3 linked regions of the Drosophila melanogaster genome follow. The protein of the gene in region 2 purifies or fractionates together with the protein of the main gene of each other region. This does not show direct contact. Each region holds a gene or a part of one and is shown on either strand. Other genes may lie near its edges.

The links. The genes of interacting proteins can lie anywhere in the genome.
Region 1: the proteins of Syx18 (region 2) and koko purify together in Drosophila melanogaster (affinity purification with mass spectrometry, with the first as the bait; one large-scale study listed by BioGRID). This does not show direct contact.
Region 3: the proteins of Syx18 (region 2) and Sec22 purify together in Drosophila melanogaster (affinity purification with mass spectrometry, with the first as the bait; one large-scale study listed by BioGRID). This does not show direct contact.

The regions. Positions count from the first base shown.
Region 1 is NT_033777.3:18,398,692-18,406,541, forward strand, and holds koko (kokopelli), read left to right. Parts: upstream 1-4,334; 5' UTR 4,335-4,375; intron 4,376-4,531; exon of another isoform or gene 4,532-4,828; 5' UTR 4,829-4,848; coding exon 4,849-4,931; intron 4,932-4,997; coding exon 4,998-5,142; intron 5,143-5,202; coding exon 5,203-5,754; 3' UTR 5,755-6,035; downstream 6,036-7,850. Other genes in the region: Vti1b (vesicle transport through interaction with t-SNAREs 1b), read left to right, coding at 1,101-1,259, 1,320-1,529; Wdr37 (WD repeat domain 37), read right to left, coding at 2,136-2,883, 2,941-3,502, 3,623-3,776; CG7685 (uncharacterized protein), read left to right, coding at 6,352-6,468, 6,529-6,734, 6,798-7,116.
Region 2 is NT_033777.3:24,623,243-24,630,993, forward strand, and holds Syx18 (syntaxin 18), read right to left. Parts: upstream 2,321-7,751; 5' UTR 2,232-2,320; coding exon 1,233-2,231; intron 914-1,232; coding exon 725-913; 3' UTR 560-724; downstream 1-559. Other genes in the region: wsck, read right to left, coding at 4,134-5,420, 5,474-5,830, 5,893-6,624.
Region 3 is NC_004354.4:802,027-810,015, reverse strand, and holds Sec22 (secretory 22), read right to left. Parts: upstream 3,941-7,989; 5' UTR 3,532-3,940; coding exon 3,451-3,531; intron 3,384-3,450; coding exon 3,274-3,383; intron 3,048-3,273; coding exon 2,746-3,047; intron 2,663-2,745; coding exon 2,514-2,662; 3' UTR 1,816-2,513; downstream 1-1,815. Other genes in the region: CG43867 (uncharacterized protein), read left to right, coding at 1-318; CG13358 (uncharacterized protein), read left to right, coding at 5,119-5,942, 6,014-6,095; CG13359 (uncharacterized protein), read left to right, coding at 6,590-7,989.

The sequences.
Region 1 (7,850 bases), 6.2 Mb from region 2:
ACTTTAGCTGCGACTTCTGGCAGGTGTTTGCACAATGGGTCCCATGACAGGTGTGCCCCGCAGCCCCCAGTAAGCTCACTTTTCCGACCAGTAGCTGTCAGCAGCCAGCATCACGTGCCAAAGTGCATTCAAATTGGGCTTAATTGCACATACTCCCTGCTGCCAAAGCACGTGCTTTGGATGGCTAGTTTACAGGGGATATGGGATATATACGGGTGGATAACCCGTGGCACAGCTTTTACACCTCGAACCCGCCGGGTTTTTCCAGTTGCTTCGAGTTTTTTCGAGTTTTTCGCTTACCTTCACAGCTCCGAAAACGCTTTTTATGTCAAAGACACACCAGATTCGATTCCCCGCGAGTGCGAGCGATAAATTTAGAACTTGTTTGTTGCCGAGCGAGAGTATCTTTATTCGAATCTGAATCTGAATGGAGCGCAGCACACGTCTGCTCACCGCCAGCGATCGACTGCGTTTAAATTTGGCACTCGCTGCCGCGACTTCGGTTCGAAAATCTCGCGATCGCCTCGAAATGCCTCGCACTCTCTGTTACTCAGCACACACACCCTGTGAATTCAGGCGGCTCTCTCGGCGCGGGCATGCCAACTATGTATGATCGGTGACCGTTATCGCAAATCAGAAATCGACAAATACCCGTACTAAAGTCAAAATCCTCGAGTGCTACATGTGTCTACCAAAAAAATGGTCAGTTTCCAAAAACCTAATCACTCTTAGGATCACCCAATTAATCACCATTAATATGTGATATTTTTGCAGTAACTAGATGTGCTTGTTGATAGTGAGGAAGCCAATCTCAAAAAAAAACCAATTGAACTAACACTTCTTACAATTTAAACTTTTAATTAGAATTTAGAATATAAAATAATATTAAGCTAATTTGGTAACAGTTTCATTTTAAATTTCAACTGTTTTAAGTGCTGTAAAGTGCATAAAGTGTTAACAGGTGGCTCCACGCACAACGCGTTAGTACCTTACCAAATAGCGTTTTCACTGCACCGCTCACCACGGCCACACTCTGCCTTTGTTTTGTTTTGATATTCCCACTGCATCGCATTTAATTTATTAAAAGCTGTTACCAAATTATGTCCTACGCCGGCTATAGCCAGCTGCCCAGCGGCAGCGACCAGGAGCGCAGGCAGGCGCAGCTCGCGGCCAGCACCTACGACGTGCTACAGCGGACGACGGACAGTATCCAGCGATCCAACCAGATTGCCATCGAAACGGAGAACATGGGGGCGGAGGTAATTACCCAGATAGTAGCCATTAACAGGGCTAACTAATGCTCGCTTACGCATCAACAGGTACTCGGCGAACTGGGCGAGCAGAGGGAGTCGCTGCTACGCACCACGCGCCGCCTGGAGGACGCCGATCAGGATCTGTCCAAATCGAGGGTCATCATTCGGAAGTTGAGCAGGGAGGTGCTCTACAACAAGATCATCCTAATCCTGATTATCATTCTGGAGGTGGGCATACTCGTCGGCTTGCTGGTGCTGAAGTTCGCTCACCTGTGAGCCAATGCCATTCTATTCCAAAGTCGTAACCACCAAACAGGCGATGGACTATATATACCTATTAATCGTTACGAATTCTTTGTCCTAGTTAATAAGCTTATAAATGTATATACTCCACTAAAATGCACTTCCAATTCAAAAAGGTCAGTTTTAGGATATACCCAGCGATGAATCGGGTGGTTGATTATGTTTATTCATGTTGGCTAAAGCGTTAATGCCTTAGACGTCTATAATATGTATTATGGTAGTAAAACACAGATAAAATCGGGTCTGGACATCGGAAGCTCTGCACTCCGAAGAGTTTAGCCCAGTCCCAACGCATATACATACGTATGCTATAACAATGATAATATGTAGTTCGTGCAGCACGCTATGCCACGACTATTTGGCAAAAAGCAACGTTAATTACATTCAGTGGGCGACAACGAGATAGTAGAACATCCTGAACAATGTCTGCATAATACTTGATCTATGATAAACGGTTACATATATGTAAGTATGTGGGCATCGCTTTGGGGATGCTTCTTTGTTCGAGAGATGTTTGGGATTTCGCAGAGCTGCGCCTCCTCATTCCTTTGGTGCAGCAGCTCTCCGCTTCAGTTGCCTTCAATTGTCCTTCGGAAGAACGATGGACCAGCCGAAAACGCGGCGATCGAAGCCGCAGGAGAAGAGATCGCAGTCCAGCAGCGGCTCCTCCGCCCACGCTACAGACGACACCATCCGTCGGTGGCCCTGCCGACTGGTCCGTGGCAATCGGGCGACTCTCTGCCCGTTCAAATCGAACAGTCGGATCTGTCGATTGTCATGCGGTATGGCGATAATTCCACCAGTGGAGACCGCCAAACGATTGACCGAGGAATCCGTTCGAATGGTGGCCAAGGCGGATCGCATGTTGCGCAGCTCCCAGACCTTGATTGTACGATCATCTGATCCGGACACCACCTTGTCGTCGCGTGCGAACACACTGGACGTAACCGTTTCCGTGTGCCCTTGGAAGACGGAGACCGCTGGGATTGCCTCTCGGAAGTCCCATAGACGGAACGTAGTGTCCCTGGAAGCGGTGACCACCAGGCGCTGGGTGGGATGTGCCGACACGTGGGTGAGCTCGTGGTCGTGCCCAGTGAGCGGCTGCAGTGGCAGGCCAGTCTCCACGTCCCACAGGATGGCAGTCCGATCCCAGCTGCCCGTGATGATTTGATCCATCGAAGAGAGCCAATCGGCGGCCACCACGACTGAAAGATGACCGCCGGGGCCTGTGAACTCGCAGAGCGGAGTGCGTAAGGTGTCCACACGATCGCGATCTTCCACCTGCTCATCACTGTCGTCCAGTTCCTCCTCTGAAGAATGGCCCTTCCTGAAAATCATGCAACGATTATTGAACTACTATAAAATATATTGCAAAGTTACTCACTTGGGCACTTCCCAGTTGACGGCCGCCTGCCAGATGTGGGCAGTACCATCCCCGCTGCCGGTGAGCACAAGATCTCGCTGCTGATGGAACTTGATGGAGTTTACGGAGCCGGCGTGCCCTTGGTACTGCAAAAGGCACCTGGCGCTCTCCACGCCCCAGATGCAGGCCGTATGATCGGCGGAGGCGGTGCCAATGATGGGTTGTCCCGCCTTGGCGGCAACCTGCCAGATGCCATCCTTGTGGCCGCCGAATTCTCGGACCACCGTGCTGACCACTGTGGGCGCCTTAAAGCTGGACACAATGCGGCTGGTTTGGGCCTTGATCTTGTTGCTGGCCTTGGCTTTGCTGCCGCCGGTAGCGCTGCTTAGTTTGGCCTTCAAGCTCTTGTGTGTACTGGATGCTGCAGCCAGGAAGCTGCCCGCCACCTCATCCGTCTGGGTTGCAGGCGTGGCCAAAGCTGCGGATGAGGCCTGAGTGCTCATTGAACCTCCTGCTGCGGATCTGGCATCGGGTGGAATCAATGACTCCTTGGTGGTGGTGGCTATGTCTAGCTTCTCCTGCACTATAACAGAGAATAGGCTTTAATCATGCGTGCACTATACAAAATTTGACATATGTAAGCAATAAATATTAAAGTTTATGAACGAGACCTTAAGGAGTTGTGGATTATATAGCTACTTACGGGCCTGGTTCTCCAGATACAGCTGCTCGAACTCCCGCTCGATCTGGGCGAAGAGGACGTGCAGGCGTGCACGGAATGGTGCATCTTCCGGTACGGCGGCCACGTCCTCCGTCAAACTGGTGAGGCGCACAGCCCGTGTCTTGCTAGCCTTCATGCTTTTCTTTTCGCCTCTTTGTTGTGTATCTCGCAAGTGATTTTCTGAGCCGAGCTGGTCGGCGATATCCGTTTCCTGGTGGGCAGAGCGCCCGGGGGAATCCAATTAGTGTTCAGGGGTTGCAGACTCGCGCTCTATTGATCCATCTTCCGCTGCTGGCGATGCATTTGCCTCTTTGGCTGACTGGGGAACTGCTGTTGCACTTGGTTTTCGCAATGATAATATACTTATTGCAGGTGTTTTTGTGCGCGGGGGGAGCGGGCGGAACAGCTGGTGTGTGTATCGAGTGTTATCGATGTGCGATTATCGCACAGTCGGACTGTGGCACACTGAGAGCAAATTGAACAAATTAAAATAAAATAATTTTGAAATTGCAGTTTACATATTAAATATATTTATATCATAAAAACGAAAAATCCTGTAAAAATTAACTGAAAATTCATTATATGTTATGAATTAGTTTAGAAAAATTTTCAACAAAAACACATCTATAAAAATGTACAATTAACAAAGTTTTTTTTTTAGTGCACTTTGGTTTGAGTACTAGTGTTGAGAAACAATTAGTTAATTTTGCTGACTTTCAAATCTGACACGTGAAGGTAAATAAATTCAAATAGAAATGTAACTATGGATCAGCGCTTTCCTGTAATTATTTATTAGGGTTGATTATCTTGTATAACCCTTTGAAACGGAAGCATTATCCTTAATCAACACTGTGTACTTGAACAGCTGTTTGGCCCGTAGTTGTAGGTACTATTTTTGAAAACACCATTGGGAGTTCCCACAAGACAAACAAATCCGTGCACCGTTGTATTGGATTCCAATCGAACAGCTGACATACCTTCGGGCCCGTTAGTTTTCCCGATCGCCCTGCATATGATACCATATCTCCCATTACAGCGCTGCAGCCCAATCAAACCGGTTTGTCGCCTTTCGACTTTTCGGTGGTCTCAGTTCACATCCATTTCCCCAACCAGTCCAATTGCTTTTATCTTGCTCCTCGAGTGTTAACGAAATTGCTTAAATCCACCCACATTCATCCTTTCATTCAGTTCGGCCTGGGAGTAGCAGCATGAAAAACGTTTTGGATGTCATGTCGATGCAGCAGCACGTGGAGTTGAACAAGGCGCAGACCATGAAGCCCATCGACTATCGGTAAGTTGAATGATCCAATCTAAAGATACCACCAATATATACATATCTGTGCCATCTGTGCCGCAGCAAAATGAACAAACCCGGCGTGGTGCCGATGTACATCTTTGAGTGCGCTGCCAAGTTGAAAATGAAACCGCTGACGGCGGCCTGTGCGGCCATAGTGTTCCATCGCTTCTTCCGCGAGGTCAAGGCCAGCGACTACGATGAGTTCGTGAGTAATATATGCCCCCAAAACGACCCCATCTCATGAGAAACTTTCTGGAATCCACAGCTCATTGCCGCGGGCTCGCTGTACTTGGCTGGCAAAATTAAGGAAGACGAAAGTGTCAAGATACGCGATGTCATCAACGTGGCATACTGCACCCTTAACCGGGGCAATGATCCAGTCGACCTGAACGATGAGTACTGGTCGATGCGGGATGCCATTGTCCAGGCTGAGCTGCTCATCACGCGCACCCTGTGCTTCGATCTCAACATAGATCTGGCCCACAAGTACTTACTCCACTACATGAAGACCCTACAAGACTGGGTGGGCACTGAGGTGTGGAACTCGGTGCCCATTGCCAAGGCAGCCGCCTCGTATCTGCAAGACTTTCACCACAGCGCCAATATCCTCAAGTACAAGCCCACCCATGTGGCCATTGGGTGCCTGTCGCTGGCCCTCCAGACCTACGGCATCCAGGTGCCGCTAACCGACGAGTCCGACGAATCCGCCATGTGGTACAAGCCCTTGGTCAAGGACTTCACCCGAGAGAACCAGTGGGAGATCATCGAGAACGTGATCGAGGTCTACAAGAACGAGGGCTTCCTGAATGCCACCTAATCGCTGAGAGAGACTGCCAAAACCATTCCTTCTGCCATCTGAACTTATTTATTTTCCCCTCGCCACCTCATAAACCAATCTCAGATACTACTAGACGTACATATGCTCAAATGTCCAATGCATTTACATCATGCCCTTGCCAAAACAAATAAATTGACCGGTAATGAAATGCTTATGTGATCGACGGGCGAAAGTACATTTACCTATCAGCGAAGACGATAGATCTAAAGTTTACAACTTATTTATACACTGATTCAATAAACAATTGTTCTGTGAAAAATGATATTGTTAATGGGTCTTTGGAGTTGTGAAATGCTTTAAGATTCTGAGGAAAAGCAAAAAGGTGTTTGGCGCTTTTATTTCAATCAAATTCATTATACTTTTAAGCTGTTAAAAGTTTTACAAAAAAATATTACACTTTATCAAACAAATTTAAATAAATCGCTCTGTATTTGATTAAATTCCGGGATGGGTGGCAACCCTTAGCCCCAGCCCAGCAGTGTTGACTAACGCAGGCATGTACAAAAACAATGCTAGTTCGTAAACAAAACATATTTTTTATACATTACTTGGCCAGAGCGAAAAAACAAGGACAATATGCGTAAGACGTGGGTGAAGCGAGAGAATATATACTTCAAGCCCTTCTACAAGCAGAAGTCGAAGATGTTCCTGCTGCTGATCTTCCTGGTCGGAATTTCGTTCATCGCGTATCAGGTGAGAGTCTCGCAAGGATTTTCCTGTGCACGGTGTTTAATGTGTAAACAATAACGATAGGCCTTCTCGCTGAACCAGCTGCCCGGAGTGCCTGCTCCGTGGAATCTGCAGCAGATCAAGCGCAAGCACCAGCAGATGATGCAGTCCCTGGGCAGCAAACAGCGCGACGTGGACGATTTCGATGGCGGAGGCGCCGATGCAGTTGCTCCGGCAGGCGGGGAAACCTCACCTGTTGCGGGTCACGAGGATCCCATCAAGATTGTCAGGTGTGTAGTAGATGCATTGTTGCTGGCTTGGGAAAATTCCTCATCCTCGTCTTTATCCTTTAGGGGCACACGGCTCTTCGACTACGACGCCTACAAGCCCAACTTCGAGGGCAAGTTCCGGTGTCTGGACGGCTCCAAAGAGATCCCGTTCGACCACCTGAACGACAACTACTGCGACTGTGAGGAGGACGGCAGCGACGAGCCCAGCACGAATGCCTGCGCCAAGGGGCGATTCTACTGTCGCTACCAGAAGCGTCACATCACGGGCCGGGGCCTGGATATCTACGTGGCCAGCAGCCGCATTAATGACCACGTGTGCGACTGCTGCGACGGCAGCGATGAGTGGAGCACGGCGACCAAGTGTCCCAACGACTGTGCGTAGTCGCAGGCCGACGGGACCCCGTTCCCACTCCCATTCCTCTTCCATCTCCTCCACCTGTGCACCTAGGACACCAATCTCAAGGATGAAGATGTCGGGCGGCGCATCACAAGCGATATTTTTTGTACGAGTACAATAGAATTGTAATTTATTTTAAAATAAGTAGATTGAATAAAAGAAACGAATTCCAAGAAACACAATGTGGCCTGTTCCAGTTTTCACATTCAAAGAATCTGATGGATTTAATGTGTACAATTTGTTTAAAACTATGTTTAATTTGGTGCCAGAGGAGCAGCTGCAAGATTAGATCTTTGTGGACATGTGAAAAAAAGAAGCTGCCATTTTATCCATATATGCTTATTCATTTTATTACCAGACTCACAAAAATCAGTAGAATTTACATTGGGAATTCCTTTTTTGTTTTGTTTTCTTTTTTTTGCTCGACTTTCTCTGCGCGATTTTTGGTTTCGAATTCGCAGCGTTTTCATTTATAATGTTCAATTTACATCTACGACCGTCTGTAATTTTAGTTAATATGGTTCTTCTTGCCTAAAAATGTTTTGTGCAGTTTAATCCGTAAAATGTACATCGACAAACTCTAAAGCAATTTTGAACTGCAAATTCTACAAGGTACGAAATTTTGTGTGTAATTAATTTTTCCCTTATATGCACAGTACGTCTCACTGGATTTTCTCTTGGTTTGCTTTCTTGGCTGGCTTTCTTGTCTTGTTTTGGAT
Region 2 (7,751 bases):
TAATATCGGCGCCTTCCTACACTATTACCACACTCCGTGGGGAATAGCTTCCATTTATCCCATTGGAGAGCCAATCATTAAGTAACTCTTAACTCTTATTCTAAACAATATGAAAAGAAAACAAAAGAACCAGCAGACTGCATTGAATGCAATCCCATATTGCACTAAAAACAAAAGAACACCTAGCGACTAAGCCAAGGATACACTCCCTCAGACACAAATCTTAAGGCTACAAAATATTAGACCTAAGCTAGTTAGAATCTAGACATTCATGTAATGAAACCAACTGAAAGAAATACGCAAAGGTTAACTTTAGGCCTTAGACATATATATACATATACATACTTATTGCTGATTTCCGTTCCCAGTTAGATATATATATATATTTTTTTGAAGAGCGTTTAATGAAAATAATATGACTAAGGACCTAGATATAAACAATGTACCAAGCAACACACTAAAACACATTTTGGTGTAGAATTTAAATTAACTACTGAGACATGTGTGAGCAAGGCGCTCAAATCGATTTTAGTTCCATATTGTTGTACGAGGTTTCATTGAATTGAAACAAGGCAGTTGAATAGCCTAAACAAATATTTTCCTTTTATTTATAAATTATGTAATAAACAAAATATGCTTTTAGTGCGATCAAACGATAACAAAACATTTTTGCATTTATCATTCCCTAAATTGGGTGGGTTACACATAAATTTGGGGACTTCACTTAATCGTAGTACCAGTCCAAGAAGAGCAGGGAGAACGACATGACCAGCAGGAAGAACAGCGACCACACGCGTAGTCCTGCATTTCGTTGAGTGGCCTGCCGGATTTGCTCGTTGGCGTCCTTGACGTTTTCCGTGGTGCCCACGACGGCACTAACTATCCTGTCGATATTGTGCTGTTGCATGGCGACCTACAAAAGGGAAAGGGAAATTTAAGAGGATTAAATGAGATTAGGACGTGGATCTATCTGGATCTAGTTAATAATTAATTGCATGCTAATAAGAGCCCGGCTTATACATCCATTGTAATCGCGAAGGATGTGGATTTTAGCGAAGCCAATTAATATTTTTAATTGAAGGATTAAGTCGACAAACATATGGGCAGCCACTTAAACCCACTAAGTATTCTTGGCAATATGGAGCAATATGTTCTCACCAAAATTAAACTAAAGATATCGTTGTTAAGAACAGCAAGGATTCCTTGGGACTTGTGTTATCATGCCATCTTACCTTTTCGGTGAAAATGTCCTGCAGTTGGGCAATGTCTACCACGTTCTTTTCGATCTGCTCCACCTCCTCGGAGACGCCCTGCAGAAAGTTGTAGATGTGTACGTTCTCCGCCTCGAAGAGCTGCACATCCTCGGCGCTTAGGGGATCGTCATCGTCGGCCTCCTGCTGCTGCTGGAGCTCCTCATCCAGAGCCATCTTGGAGGATGAGTTGTTCAGATCCGATCTGTTGGCTTTGCTTCGTTTGCGCGTACGCGGTTTGTGTTGATTGGCCTGATTGGCTTCCTTGCCCTTCTCGCCATCGTGATCGTCCACCTCGTCGCCTTCCTCGTCTTCATCCCAGTCGCCCCAGGCGTCGTTATTCCAGTCATTGTCGGCGGACTCGTCGTGGTTGCCATTTGCTTGTGAAGATGACTTCGTGGCTTCGCTGTCATCGTTGCTGACCTGGCGCCTGCCCAGCTTGCCACTGTTGCTGCCCGCCGGACGCACTGGTATCTTCTTTTTGTCCGCCGCCAGCTTGAGCAGCCTATAGGTTTCCAGTTCGTGTTGCACACGGTACTTCTTTTGGTCCAGATAGATCTGTTCCACGCTGTGCAAATAGCTGACCAGCAGGTCCAGCACGGCGTCGATGTGCTGACGCTCCTGCGGCTTCCGCTTGGCGCTCTTCCAATCGCTGCGCATCTTGGCCAGGTGCTGCGTGTAAAAGGTGACGAACTTCTCCGACTCGCGATCAATCAGATCCCGCTGCGCGTCGGTCATGTGTGCGGCGGACTTGAGGTGCTGGCCAATGCGCATGTAGGCGGTGCGGTTCTCGATCAGCACATTGCGCAGCGAAGTGATCTTGTTGCACACCTCCTTGGCCTGCTTGGCGAAGTCATCCTTTGGGCCAATTGGTCCAGTTTTTGTCGGCACTGTGGCGGGCTTGGCCTTTCCGGCCAGCTCGGCCTTGCGCTGCAGGCGCACCGTCATTACGCTGGCCTTGAAGCTCTGGGTGATGTCCATAGCTATTTGCTATAACTAAGTTTGAAATATTTAACTTTTAAATCCACATCATCGGTCCAACACAATGTGGCCGTTCGTTTAACCGTTTGCAGTGTGACCTTATGATGACCGTTAATATATACCAGTTAGCTAATACTAAAAATAGCTAAATGTTATCGATAAGCATTTCAGTGTTGGCTAATGAATTTTCACCCCCACACTTATAGGTGATTTTTCGCCCAACGGTGTACGGTCACACCATTGGCAGAGCACAAACAAAATACGTACTTTTCTGCTTCCAAAGTGTCGAAAAATCGCAGCGCAGTGAAGTCCAGTGTCCGATGTAAATGGTTAAGTAAAGTGAGTAACAAAGGCCGACACAGAAGCCGCATTATTTGCGCAGTTAGCCGACCATTTGGTAGTGTGCGTGAGTGGCTCCGTCGCAGTGCGTTGGTGTGCGTGTGTGAGCAACCAGTTTCCTTGGATTCCTCATAATCTCCATGTGTGTATATGTAACAAAAACAATAACAATTTAACCAGGCGAATGCAAAACACTCGCAAAGTTGGCCAATACCGGATGAACCTCATCATCATCATCATCTTCCACATATTCATGAGCATGGTCGGCAGTCGAAGCCCCTGAATTCCGATAGCAGCCATTCAGCTCGATTTATTAATAATAATTGCCCATTTGCTCGGAATGTATACACATTTCAGTGACTTCAATTGTTCGTCGTCATTTCACCTTGAATTGCGGGCAAGGTAAGCGTCCAAAAGTCGCTATGGATATCGTTGCGCTTCATTTACCGTATTTACCATATACTCTATAAGAAAGTCGCTCTAAATTCCGGGTGAGCCATGTGCTTTGGGTTTTTTGGTGGATCCAATAGTTACACGTCGACAAGAGAAACAATGGCTTATCTTCTTTGGGAAGGATCCCGAGATAAGCTTGTACATAGTGAGAAATTTTAAGTACTGATAACGAATTTTGAACATTTCATTTGAAAAGTGCATATCGGAAGAATATACACAGATTTAGATTTTTTTTTTTTTTTTGCTATGTAGCTTCATTATAAGATGATTGTCCAAACCAATGGAATATACATACATAAAGTGCCCTACTATTTCGGATGACTAATAATGCATGTAACCGCATCTAGGCTGCTGCCAACAATTTCCCTAATTAATTCTTAAACAACATAACAAACAATAGATGCAATGCAAGACCTTTAAACTGATTAATCGTCAATTTTGATCCACTCACACTTAAGCAACACCGCCGTTTATTTTCTATTATTAATTGCTGCTCGCCAGCGATCAAAGTTTCGCATTCGCGGCTCTCTCCCTTGGTTTTTTTTTTGCTTTTAGTTTTCGCTTTTGTCTGGTTTGTGCAACATCAGCGATCGGCGGGGGAATCACAGTCGCTGGTCTGTTGGTAGATCCATTCGCTATGGATCCCTCAATTTATTACACAATTTTGGGGGCCAGACTGTCAGTAGTCTTTTATCTATCGCGCTCTCCATCGAGCACGTTCGCTTGAACTTTGTTTCGCGTGGGGGAAAGTCGATTCCTTTCTTTCGGGTTGTAGATAAGCAATTAACTACCTTATAGATCTGATAAGCTCTGGCATAGAACACTCTTTTATTTGTAGGAAGTTTGTGCGTATTAACAATAAACATCGAATTGTGTTTCATAAATGCTCACTTCTAATATTATATGGATAATAACAATTTATGAGCTTTATTAAATCAATGTGTAAATTCTAAAACAAATTATTTTCTCTTCAGAACACTGAAAGTGAACTCATCTAAAATCGAAATGAAGTGATGTTTTCTCTTAGCAGCAGTGACTCAGAACCGAAATCTACTCTATGCGAATGTGGTCTCTCGCTGACTAAAGCTAATTATACTATTCGGCTGCACCTCAGCCCATCGTAGCAACGGCTTCCAGTTGCGGCAGGTACGGAGGCAGGGTGTCTAGTCCGCCGGCCACTCGATCAAAGCTGAGGGCATGACGCGGTGAGGTCATCAGCTGACGTACTCCGAAGGCCACGTCCTCACAGCTGCTCCGCTCGCTCGGCTCCAGCTGCCAGCAGTTGAGCAGCAGCTGGTAGAGATCCCCGTAGACGTAGGCTGGCTGCGCCGGACGCACTGCAGCCCGAATGGCCTCTAGAAGCTGTTGGTTACTTGCCACTGCATTGGCATAGGGAGTACCGCCAAGGGCACAGCATTCCCACGCCACGCAGGCCAGGGACCAGACATCAGAACGGGTGGAATGGTGATGCTGATGGCGCAGCACCTCCGGGGCCAGCCACCGGTTGTGGTCTGGCTGCTGGCGAGCAATGTTCATGTAGGGCAGCGGTCCAAAGACGCTCAGTTTTAGCTTGAAATCGCTGGTAACGAAGACGCTGTGCGAGCAGAGCTGTCGATGCACCACCTGGCAGCTGGATAGATAATTCATGGCACTGGCAAGCTCGTAGATCCACTGCAGCACTAGCTGCTCAGAGAGGGAAGTCAAGCGTGGCGACGGTGCCATCAGGCGACTCTCCACCAGTTTTCTCTTTAGACTCATGCGTTGCTGCTCGAAGATTAGGTAGAACCAATCGGGACTTGCTGATACTCCATAGAAATCTAGCAAATGCTCCTGGCGCTTCAATTGAGACAACTGACGTAGTTCTCTCAGCAACTGTGCCTGTGTAGTACCATTCAGATCGTCCAGACAGAGCACGTGCAGGGTGCAATCTCTGGCAAAATCGTTTGTGGAAACCTTTCCGGTTATAATCTCACCAAAGCGTCCGTCTCCGATCACATCGTTCACATTTAGTCGTAGTGCATTCCTTGGTATCCGTTCGTATCCTTCCACCAACTGTTGCAACTGCTGCTTGAAGTTTTCCGGCGAGTGTGGCAGTGGATCGTCCTCCACAAGGTATCCGTTATTTTCCCGCTCGATTATGGGCGTTTGCAGCGTCATCTCGTGCGTATTGCCACCAGTCAATCGTCGCCCGCGGCAGGTCTTGTAGCGCAGATAGAAGTAGGCAATAAGACTGAGCAGGAGGCAGGAGCCGAAGATCACACAGGTGACAGCTAGGGCAACCACCGAGGATTGACCCTTCTCAAAGGTGGCGTAACTAAAGTCGTCTAGGGATGTCACATGCTGGTCGTGAGTTCCACGACTGTACATCGTCTTGGTAACGCCCTCCAGTGTGCTCACCTAGAATATAAATAGTTACAGAGATATTCATTCGAATTTAATGCATTACTCACCAATCCGAGACTGATGTGGACATGTGCATCTGGTTGATCCAACGGCTTATTGGTAAATCGTCCGTAACGCTTGCCATCGCCGACCACAAAGCGCCGGGTGCGATTGTCCTCCGGTCGATCGTAGTCCAATTCGGCGGCTATGTAGTAGGGCACTCCATCTTGTTGAGCCTGCTGCCAGCTGCCCAGGAGCTGGGCATCGAATGGCTGACTCAGGGCGTTGTCCACGTATTCCACGATGACGAGCAGTTTGCTCAGCGGTCCATTGTCATTCCGAATGGGCGACAACTCGATGGTTACAGTGCGGTCAGTCCGGCTGAGGATTTTCGGCTGTGCTGGCACGGGACTTGGAAGGCCCACCTGAAATTTGGAGTAGTAATGTTATTGGTTAGGATTCTCGTTAGAATTCAAGCATTACCAACCTCCGTGGTGGCTTCTATCGAGGCCTGTCCGCATTCAGATTGACCTACTTGGGCATCCTTGCACATGGCTCTCACGGATATGTTGTACAGCGTGGCGGGATGCAAGTCTGTGAGTTCAAACTGCGTTTCCGTGCTCTGCACCATAAACTCAGGCTGCGGGAAGGCGGGCAACGAGGAGTAGGTCTTCAGGACCTGAGCTTTGATCAGGAAGTTGTCCAGTAGCTGGTTGGGAAGCACTGCCTCCGCGCCGCCGGCCAGGAGTAGTTTCCTCGCCTCGTACGCATTCCAGCTAAGGGTCAGGCTGTTCTCCGTTTTGTTCGAGATTCTTAGATGATGCGGACCCGGTTGTTTGGTCAGTATGGTGGAGTAGTACGAGTGCACACCAACTCCGCCACAATACTGCGCTTTGTTGGCCAGGCAGCGAGTGTTGCAGAGCTGTTCATCCTGTTGCTCCTGCGGCTCCAGGACATTTGCACAGAAGCACTTCTCGGAGGCCAGCACGGCATAGTGGTGACCCTGATGCTCGCAGATCTCGATGCAGGTCTGCGGTGTCTTGGCGTACACCGATTCATGGAGAAGATCCGTTCGTGCCGTGTAGCAACCAACGTAGTAGTAGGCAGGTGCTTCCTGGGGGACAGCTGCTCCTAGCGGAAGGCCCAAGCACATGGCCACGAGGCAGCTCGAAAGCCAAATCGGAATTGGGCGGTGTCCGCTGTGTGAACCGCATTCCATGGCTTGCAAATCTCGAATGAGCAGCTAAGCTCCTGCACGCCGGATGACTGATATCCGCCTGGGCTTTCTGTTGCTTCTTTGGGGGCTAGGACTGCCAATTAAACACTTTTCACGGGCAGCCAATTTAGGCAAATTAAAAACTTTTATTCTTTTTCCCCGCTCAACATTTTCCAAGCGCTTCTGCTGCTGCTTCTTCTTCCACTGCCGTTGTTGTTGCTCTCGGCAACCGTGTTTCCATTTCCAGTTGACTAATCGCTCTGCCGACGTCGACGCAGGCCGCACAACTGTTGCTGTTACTCTCCAACACCTTTGTTTACATCGCCCGCTAGTTGCAAAAGCTGCAAGTGTAAGTGGGACAACTGGTGTGTTGCGAAGATCGTCCGTATCTGGCGGCACCGCTCACACACCTGCTGGACAAGCCTGGTTCCAAACGGCATTGCCAGATGTGATTGTTATTTTGAATTTTAAATTCCCATTCAGCGCGCCAAAGTCTCGGACAACAGTTGGTCTTAATTAAGTGGCAATGTGTTAATTGGACAGACGCGATTTTGCTAACGTTGCAGCTGCCGCCGGACCAATTGCATTACCCACCTCCCTTCCACCACGGTGTCTATTCCTATTTTGCCATGTGGCGACGGCAAATGAGAGTTGATCGGAAAAGAGAGAGTACCGCTTCGCTCTCTTTTTGAGGTAGCCGATTCATTGGTGACTTGCGTGTTGTGCTTGCAGTTTGATTTGGTTGACGGTCGCGCTGGTCGTGTATTTATATTCATATTCCCATTCCGCATCCGAATCGGACTCAATTAGACGCAAGCATAACTTTTATGTGGCCTGTATAATCGGGAGTGTGGCATAATTCCCCACCGATCTCTTGTCTTAATGTGGTATGTTCTTCACTTGTTTTGGCTGCGTTTCTAATTAGAATTCAAGTGGTCAAACTGCGTAGCGCGACAAAAGTTGTCGACGTCATCACAACGCAGCTAACGAAATTAATTTTAATGTGTTCCCTTCCTACGGCTTACATACGAACAGTCAACTGTGCTGAATTCGTTTAACCCGATTTGGAAACCCTTTGAGTACACATTCGCCATTTGGTGTGATAAAACCCAAAAGGAACAAATGAATAA
Region 3 (7,989 bases), on a different chromosome or scaffold from region 2:
CCGCAGATGAACTCCCTGACGAGGAATGGGTCGCATCGCTCGCTAAGAACCTCCCAGCGGCCAAACTTGGGTGGTGGCTCAGCGGTGGCCACCGGGTTCTCTACAAATGCCACCACAACGGCCCACAATACGCTCAATTCGCATGCGACACACACGCTTAACTCCAACCATTCGCACACGCTGAGCAGCTCCCATCACGCCGGCGGGGGAAGTCAACCGGGCACTCTGAGCTCGGGTCATCATCAGCACCACCATATCCAGCAGCACCACCAGCCTGATATCCTGAAGAGCACACCGGATCACCAGAGGATTAAATAGAGAAGAGTGGGATTGGAGGATCTCAAGAAGAACGATGGTTCCCTGCACGTTGAGGATTACGGAAAAGATAATCAAAAAGAGGAAATTAGAGAGTAGCGAAGAAGGATTAAAGTAGAGCTAAAGGATCACACATTGTACATAAAGGTGGAAAATCACAGCTAAACAGACATATACAACTAACAGATACATATGCACCGGCCTAGTGGCTACAAATATGAAACTAAAGATAGAATGATAGAAAGATATAAAGATAGACGGATGGATAGCGATAGCGGTAAAAATACGACTTAGCCTAATAGGCCTGGGATGGACCTTCTTCTCCTTGCGCACCACTCACTAAAGTTATTTTCTAAGCTAACGACGGTACCCGTACTCTAAACCTACTTTGTAAACCGCAGCAGCAGGCATATATATATAAATATATACTATATATTATTTTTTTTTGATAGTCATAAGCCCAGCGTACCCGAAAGTGCATGAGGGTATGCGTAGAAACGAAAACAGAACAAGAATCTCAAAGTTCAGATTGTTCCTGACTTATTTATTTATTTTTGATTTTTCATAGTTCAAACCAACATACAAGTAAAGGCAATGCAAAACACACCTATAAAAATGATATGTTTGAGTGTTATTGCTCTTCGATGCTTTTTAATGAATCTCAATTTGTAATTGTCCCTCCACGCGCAAAACTGCCTTCTGAATTTGTATAGATGTCGGAGCCAAGAACGAGAAAAATATAGTTATACAAAACGAAGCCAAAAAAAACAAAACAAGCGAACTATAGTAGCATTAGCAGAATCCAATTGAGAAAAGCAAATATTTTTTAAAGAATTTTGAGCCTAGTGCGGGCTATCAACCAAGCATACCCATCTATTGTATATCTAAATAGTTCCAGTTACGCCCCGACCCGCCCCGCCACGCCCGACTCGTATGGTTTTCGCATAAACTAAAACTTCGATTTTATAGACCGCGTAATTTATTTTCGATCCCACTCACCACCAGAGCTTCAGCAGAACCACAGCCTAGTACACGGAAGCCAGAGGAGGTTGCAAAATTCGGTAGATGATTGCTCTTCTCCCCAGTTAATTAATTATTGCAGACCATTTCACACATCCCCCCCCACAAAGCATATGCATTCATATGTAGTTATGTAGAGAGCGTATATATGTATTCGGATTCGATATTTCACAAAACTATACACACCAAATTACGATATAGCAGTGTATATGGCAACAGCGCATTTTTTTCCTAATTGTAAAGATTTGATATTACAAATTTATATGCGCTGAGACGCAACGAAAACGGACATTTAGCGGGACGATATGAGACCGAATGGGATCGGGATCGGATCAGATCGAGAAATTCATTGAGAAGAATCGTAATTCGAAGGCTTGCAAGTGGATATAAACTATAAAGGCGAATGTATCACATCACACTCAGTGAATCGAAAAATATATAAAGGGAAATTATCGATTAAAACTAAACCAAAAATCAGATGCAGTTTCTATCTTTCGGGCTTGGGTAGTGCATCGAACACAGTTTTGCCTTCTCTTTATTAAACAATATAAATTTATTTATTTGCCTTAATTTTACACATATAAATTGCCTAAAACTGTTATTGTTTATTTCCCTTTCTCTTCTTTTCTTTTCTTTCGGTTCGCTTGTTATCTTTTCTTTTTCTTTTGTTTTTTGCGGTGTTTTTGCAGCTTGTATCAAGCACTCCGCCGGATTCGGATTCGCTATGCAGCGATCCATCTACAATCTAGACATTTATACACACACACACGGATCGACGCTCATAATTTACAGATTTGGGTCGTAGTCAACCGACTTGGCTCAAAGGTCGTCTAAACTAAACCCGATTCGTAATCAAATATTTAGAAAACCTGCGCAACGGAAGCGCGAGGCGAAATGAAATGGGAGTTAATAATTAATGGAATCCCAGACCGTAAATAACGCAAAGGTAAGTTAATATTAGAAGTAAAACAATCCTCGGGAGCGATGCGTATGCTGGTAGGGGGTTTCGCTATTCACTTTTCGCTTGCCTATGATTCATAGATATGAATGAATATGGTGTGGTTGGTGGCGTGGAGTACAGGTGCACGCGTAATCTAAATGTCTTTTGGTCTTGCGTCCTTGACGCTTGACTCCAACAAAGAACGCGCCGCTCCGAGTGGCCATGGAACTGCTTGATATTACAGAACCCAGAAATACATGATGAACACTAGAAGTATCATGCCCAAGGCCATCGCCTTCACGTACATGGACTTTCGGTTGAGCAGCTTGGCGTCCTTCTTGTACTTCTGTGACATCATCGATAGGTTCTGGGTCTTGGTGTCGAGTTCTGGAAGGAAAAACGGGGTGAACGTCAGTTGAATCCCACAATCACGCGTAGATAGTCGCGTAGATAGTAGTAGTAGTAGTTACCCGCCAGCACTGTGCCACGTTGGAGCACGTCGTCAATGTTTTGCACCATGATGCGCTGCACATCCTGCAGCTGTGTGTTGATGTTGCTGATGTTGCGTCTGCGGTCCGTCAACTGTTTTTTCGCCTTCTGTATGTACACGTCAAACTCGATGAATGCGTATGGGCGAGTCACTGAGTTTACTCGCCGGCCGTAGTTAGCATGGAACTCCTGGGCCAGGTCCTCCAGGTAATTGAAGGCCAGTCGCTTTGAGTACATCTTGTCCACCATCACCAGGTAGCAGACGTCGTTCTCGATTAGGTAGCTGCAGGGAAAATGTGGAATATTTTAATTGGGGCGCCCATTGCATCTTCTGGCTTTCGCAAGCAGTGAGCGTTTAATTTAACTTCGTATCAAATTACATCTATACTCTTTGTTCCGAAACTAAATCAACTGTCACTGACTACCCGCGGAGCCGAGAAACCTTTGTACATGGTGTGATTTTAATGGTCTATGCCCTGGCAAAGGTGCCACGAATTGGGGCTACTCACTGGAATAGGTAGGGTCCGGTCTCGATACTGCATCGAGCCGGGGAGTGGGTACCCAGCTTGCGGAAGAGCATCTTAGCCTGGTTTTGGTAGTCCAGTATGCTGCGTCCGCTCTGAAAGTGAAAGCGACTTAGTTGCGGGAGCGGAACGGAATGCAACGTATTAGAAAGTGATGCACACGGGTACCTGCTCGTCATCCTGCATGGTCCCCACCAGAGGAAGGCCATCGATGACCCTGGCTATCATGGTCAGCAGCGCCATGGCTTCTGCTGTTCCTGGTTACGATTGCTCGCGGAACTACGGGGCTGCGTCTCAAGTCTTCTTGGCCACGGCTGCACTCTGCCGTCGCCTCCTTCCACTGGCTGCTACTTATTCCGATGTGGATCCGCTGCAGTCCAGTCACCAGTGTGTGAAGTTTGTGTCCGGTCGTCCTCTTCCACTTCTTGGATTTCACAACTCAGCCGATCGGTCGGTGCTTGCCGCAGTGCTCCTGCGATGCCCGGGACTTCCAAATGGACTCTGCCTCGAATCGGGAACGTTCGCTGCTACCATGAAAACTGTGTTGCAACGTCGCGGCGGGCGGGTGTCTGGGATTGGAGTGGATTGGAGGTTTCTGTGGATGTTTGTTGCAATGTAACCACGTCACCGGTATGTCCGTGTAAATATACCGAATGGTGCGAGGCATACCGAATACCGCAGAGTATCTCAGAGTACCGACCGCCAACGGTCACATTAACGGAAGTCCATTATACCATTCGTTTCTTCGTTTCTTTAAATGCACGATATGGAAATACGCTTTCAACTCGTTTTCAAGCCAGCATGCCCCTGAAAATGGCGCTTTCGAGTTTCCGGGCTTTCCCGCAAAGCTATTTTCCCAGGTCTACAGCTTTGACAGCTTGCGCTCTGCTGTAATGTGGAGTTTGCTTTTTGTATGCGTGTGTTGTACACAGGATGCGGATTAAGGATCCCCAGAAGTTCAATAGAAGTACAATACTTCGATTCACCCATGAACCTGGCGCCCAGATGCATTGTTCTATAGCTGTTTTGAGTCCCAATCCGACCAATTGGTCTTTGGTATTTTTATTTTTTATATTGGCAATCGAGTTGCGAATATATTATTTCAAATATTTAAATATAAATAAATATTTATTTAAATTATTAACCAACATAAATCGAAATCCCTGGCACGTCGCGCCGCTTTCGCAGACTCAAATCCGCTGGCGCAGATGCCGGAAGTGGGTTGGACCCCCCAAAAGTCGATGACCAAGCCCAACCGGTTCGCCCGCGAAGACCATCCTCTGCATGGACATCCACATCCATCCCCAGAAGGAAAAGTGGTTCGCCCGCGAAACCGGACTTGGACTTGAGGCAGGGACCCAACTATATGGACTACCTGTGGTACTTGGCGATGGAGCTGCGTGCGAATGTGCGTTTCAAGCGACCACCGGAAAAATCTTTGCACTGGGAAAATAATTCATATCGAATGCGACTTATTCATCTATGTATATTATGAATTGAAGCCCTGCAAGCGAATGCGAATAACCATTCCCATTTCTGCTCATACCGAAGAATGCTAAGATATACACAAGTTTGTGATCAAAGCGGGAAAGCTTATGACATTATTTAAAATGCTTGTACTGTGATCTTAAATCGAATGCATTTCAATTAACTCTGAGCCCATCGAGGACTGCGGTCAACCTATTTTCTCATCGTGTGATCGGATCACCCGCAGCGGAATGCGTGCGCTTCCGTTTTGCTCGGCTTGGCCTCCTTCCTCGTTCCGTTGAAAGCAGGTATGTATATATAAGCCACTGCTCCACCTAGAGGCTCCACAATACAAAGTCAGTCATGGCCGGGTCAGTTCGTGCGACGCTCCTGGGTCTCCTCATGCAGATCCTGTGCAATGGGCTGGCTGGTCAGCAGCTGCTCCTCACACGTCCCCAAAGGAGCCTGTTCGAGACTCCGCTGGGTCACGTAGAGCAAGTGGAACAAGTGCCCTCTTTAGGCTGGAATAGTGTTGGTAGTGGACTCGGAGTGGGCGAGTGGCCCTACAGCCCCGTTGGTCTCGGCCACATGAGCAAGGATGAGCTGCTGACCCTGCTGGAGGCCTGGAAGGAGGTCGAGGAGGAATCGGCCACAACAACGACTGCGTCGCCAGCGGATGCCAGCACACGTAGACCTCCTCCGCCTCCACTGCCACCACCACCACCTCCTCCGCCACGACCCACACCCATACCAGTCTCCGTTGCAATCCCGTCACCGGCTGTTCCGCCCTCCGGCACTCCCATTACAGTGCGGCTCCCAGCCTTTGTGCCTGTGCGTCTGGCTGCCGTGTTTACTCCGCTTGCCGGTGGACAAGCTGATAGTGCTGTTCCGTCTGCCAACGGAGTCGGAGGGGCTGGAGGAGATGATTTGTCCACCGATGACGTGACAGATGATGACGGCGTCTCTACCCGGCTCTTTCGCTTTTTGCCCATGCCAGGAGCTCGAACGAGACCGCAATCCAATTCACAGCCCAGGCAGCAATTTGTGGTGAGGAACACCCTGGACAGCGTGGATGCGGGCACTGCCCCTGTCAGGCAGCAGATTAAACCGGAAGTCCAGCCCAAGGCGACTGCTCCGCCTTCCATTCCCAAGTTCCCTGGCCACCCAACTCCCTTCTTCCGTCCCAGGTAAGCAGAAACGAAAGCGCTAGAGGTGGTCATCTGGGCAGCCGGCTCATTTCCCTCCATTTTTGCTCTAGATTTGGTGTGCCACCGAGTCTGGCCAACGCTCGATTCGAGCTGGTGCCCTCTTCCCAAATCATCGGCGACTGGCGGGTGTGAGCCTGTGCATCACTTGACTGACCAAAACGGAGTACCTTCCGGCGAACCAACCAGGATCGAGCTTTTGAAGGAGGCTGTCTTGCTAGGCTGTTTCCACTGTTGCTTATGTATTTTATTTTTTATTGAATAATAATTTTTTTTTTTTTTTTTGTGTCCAAATAGAATATGCAATCAGTCATAGATTAGCGACATACTAACTGCTTTCGAATTGAAGTAGGCACTTTTTCTGCTCCAATGGCCATGTGAAGCCATATATGTACATCTATTTGTATGTCCTCTGAAATCGCTCAGCTTTTAAAACAAAGAGCAGTCTGAAGAGTACATATAAAGATAGCGATCAGCCCGAGTATTTAGCCATAACAATTTATAGTATTTTTCGAATCCTAAGATTGGAATATTCAGTTCAATCGAATATGTATGCAGTTTCCCCTCACACAGTTTTATAAGTTGGCCTGAAGTTTTTGTACAAAAAAATATAAATTTTATATTTAGAAATGAAATGCTCTGCATCTTTTAATGCCCTCTGCGACGTGGGAACGCCGCGTCCGAACTTGCAGCGGTTAATTCCCTATGTCGAGCCGCAACAGGACGACGAGGAGGATATGGTAGTGTGGTGCCGGTCAAATCTGGATTTGGCCTGCTCGCTCAGCGAGATGCGCATACGCTGTCCAGAGCACTTCGATGTCGCAACCGTCGTGGGGGTAAATTCGCATACCGGAAAACTAATCACCCACTTTAATCACCGGAAACTGGGGGATGTGGACCTGGCGCCTCACGCGTTGCTTAGCCGGCGAGACAAGTTCATGGACATTTGCCAGAAACAAGTAATGACGAGTCAGGGCTGCTTGGCGTCAGAGGGAACACCAATCCCCGCCGACCTGGAGGTCACTTGGCAGAGTCATAGCATCATTGACTGCCTTGCTCTCCGCAAGGTGCGTGCAGAGATGAATTTAGCTGATCAGAAGGCGGCCAAGAATCTTGTGGATCGCGTTGAGGTGCACCACAAGACTTTGCAGACGGAGGAGGCGGAGCGAAGGAAATTGATTATTGACAAGGCAAATTCTGCGAGGAACTTGACTATTGACAAGGCAAACTCTGCGAGGATCTTGGCTATTGACAAGGCAACCTCCGCTAGGAAATTGACTATTGACAACTCAACCTCCGCGGGGACATTGACTATAGACAAGGCAACCAACGCGAGGAAATTGACTATTGACAAGGGAACCTCCGCGAGGAAATTGACTATTGACAAGGCAACCTCCGCGAGGAAATTGACTATTGACAAGGCAACCTCCGCGAGGAAAATGACTATTGACAAGGCAAAATCCACGAGGAACTTGACCATTGACAATGCAACCTCCGCGAGGAAATTGACTATTGAGAAGGCAACCTCCGCGAGGAAAATGACTATTGACAAGGCAAAATCCACGAGGAACTTGACCATTGACAATGCAACCTCCGCGAGGAAATTGACTATTGAGAAGGCAACCTCCGCGAGACGTTTCTCTAGACCAAAAAGATATGTCAGCGGGTATATTTCCAAAAGAAAATCGATCGGAAAAACGGAGTCTTTGTCGCGCGGTGCATACATCCCCGATCCTGAGCTCAACCGCGCGATAGCCAAGTACGGTGTGTCTGCTAGTCAACCGTTCAAAAGACAGCATTGCCTTGTGCTGGAGAAGCATCCCGACAGAACCCAGATCCCGAACTCCAGAACCAACACCAGTGGCTGTAAGTCCGACGGCTCTTCAACACCCATTTGGAGAAGTGCTAGAACTGGTGCGGATCAGAATACGCAGGCAGAGAGTTCTGACTCTTTCAATTCCTCCAATTCCTTCGAGAGCTCCAGTCTGGCCAGCGATTCTCAAGAAAACCACGAGCTGTCCACGGCGGC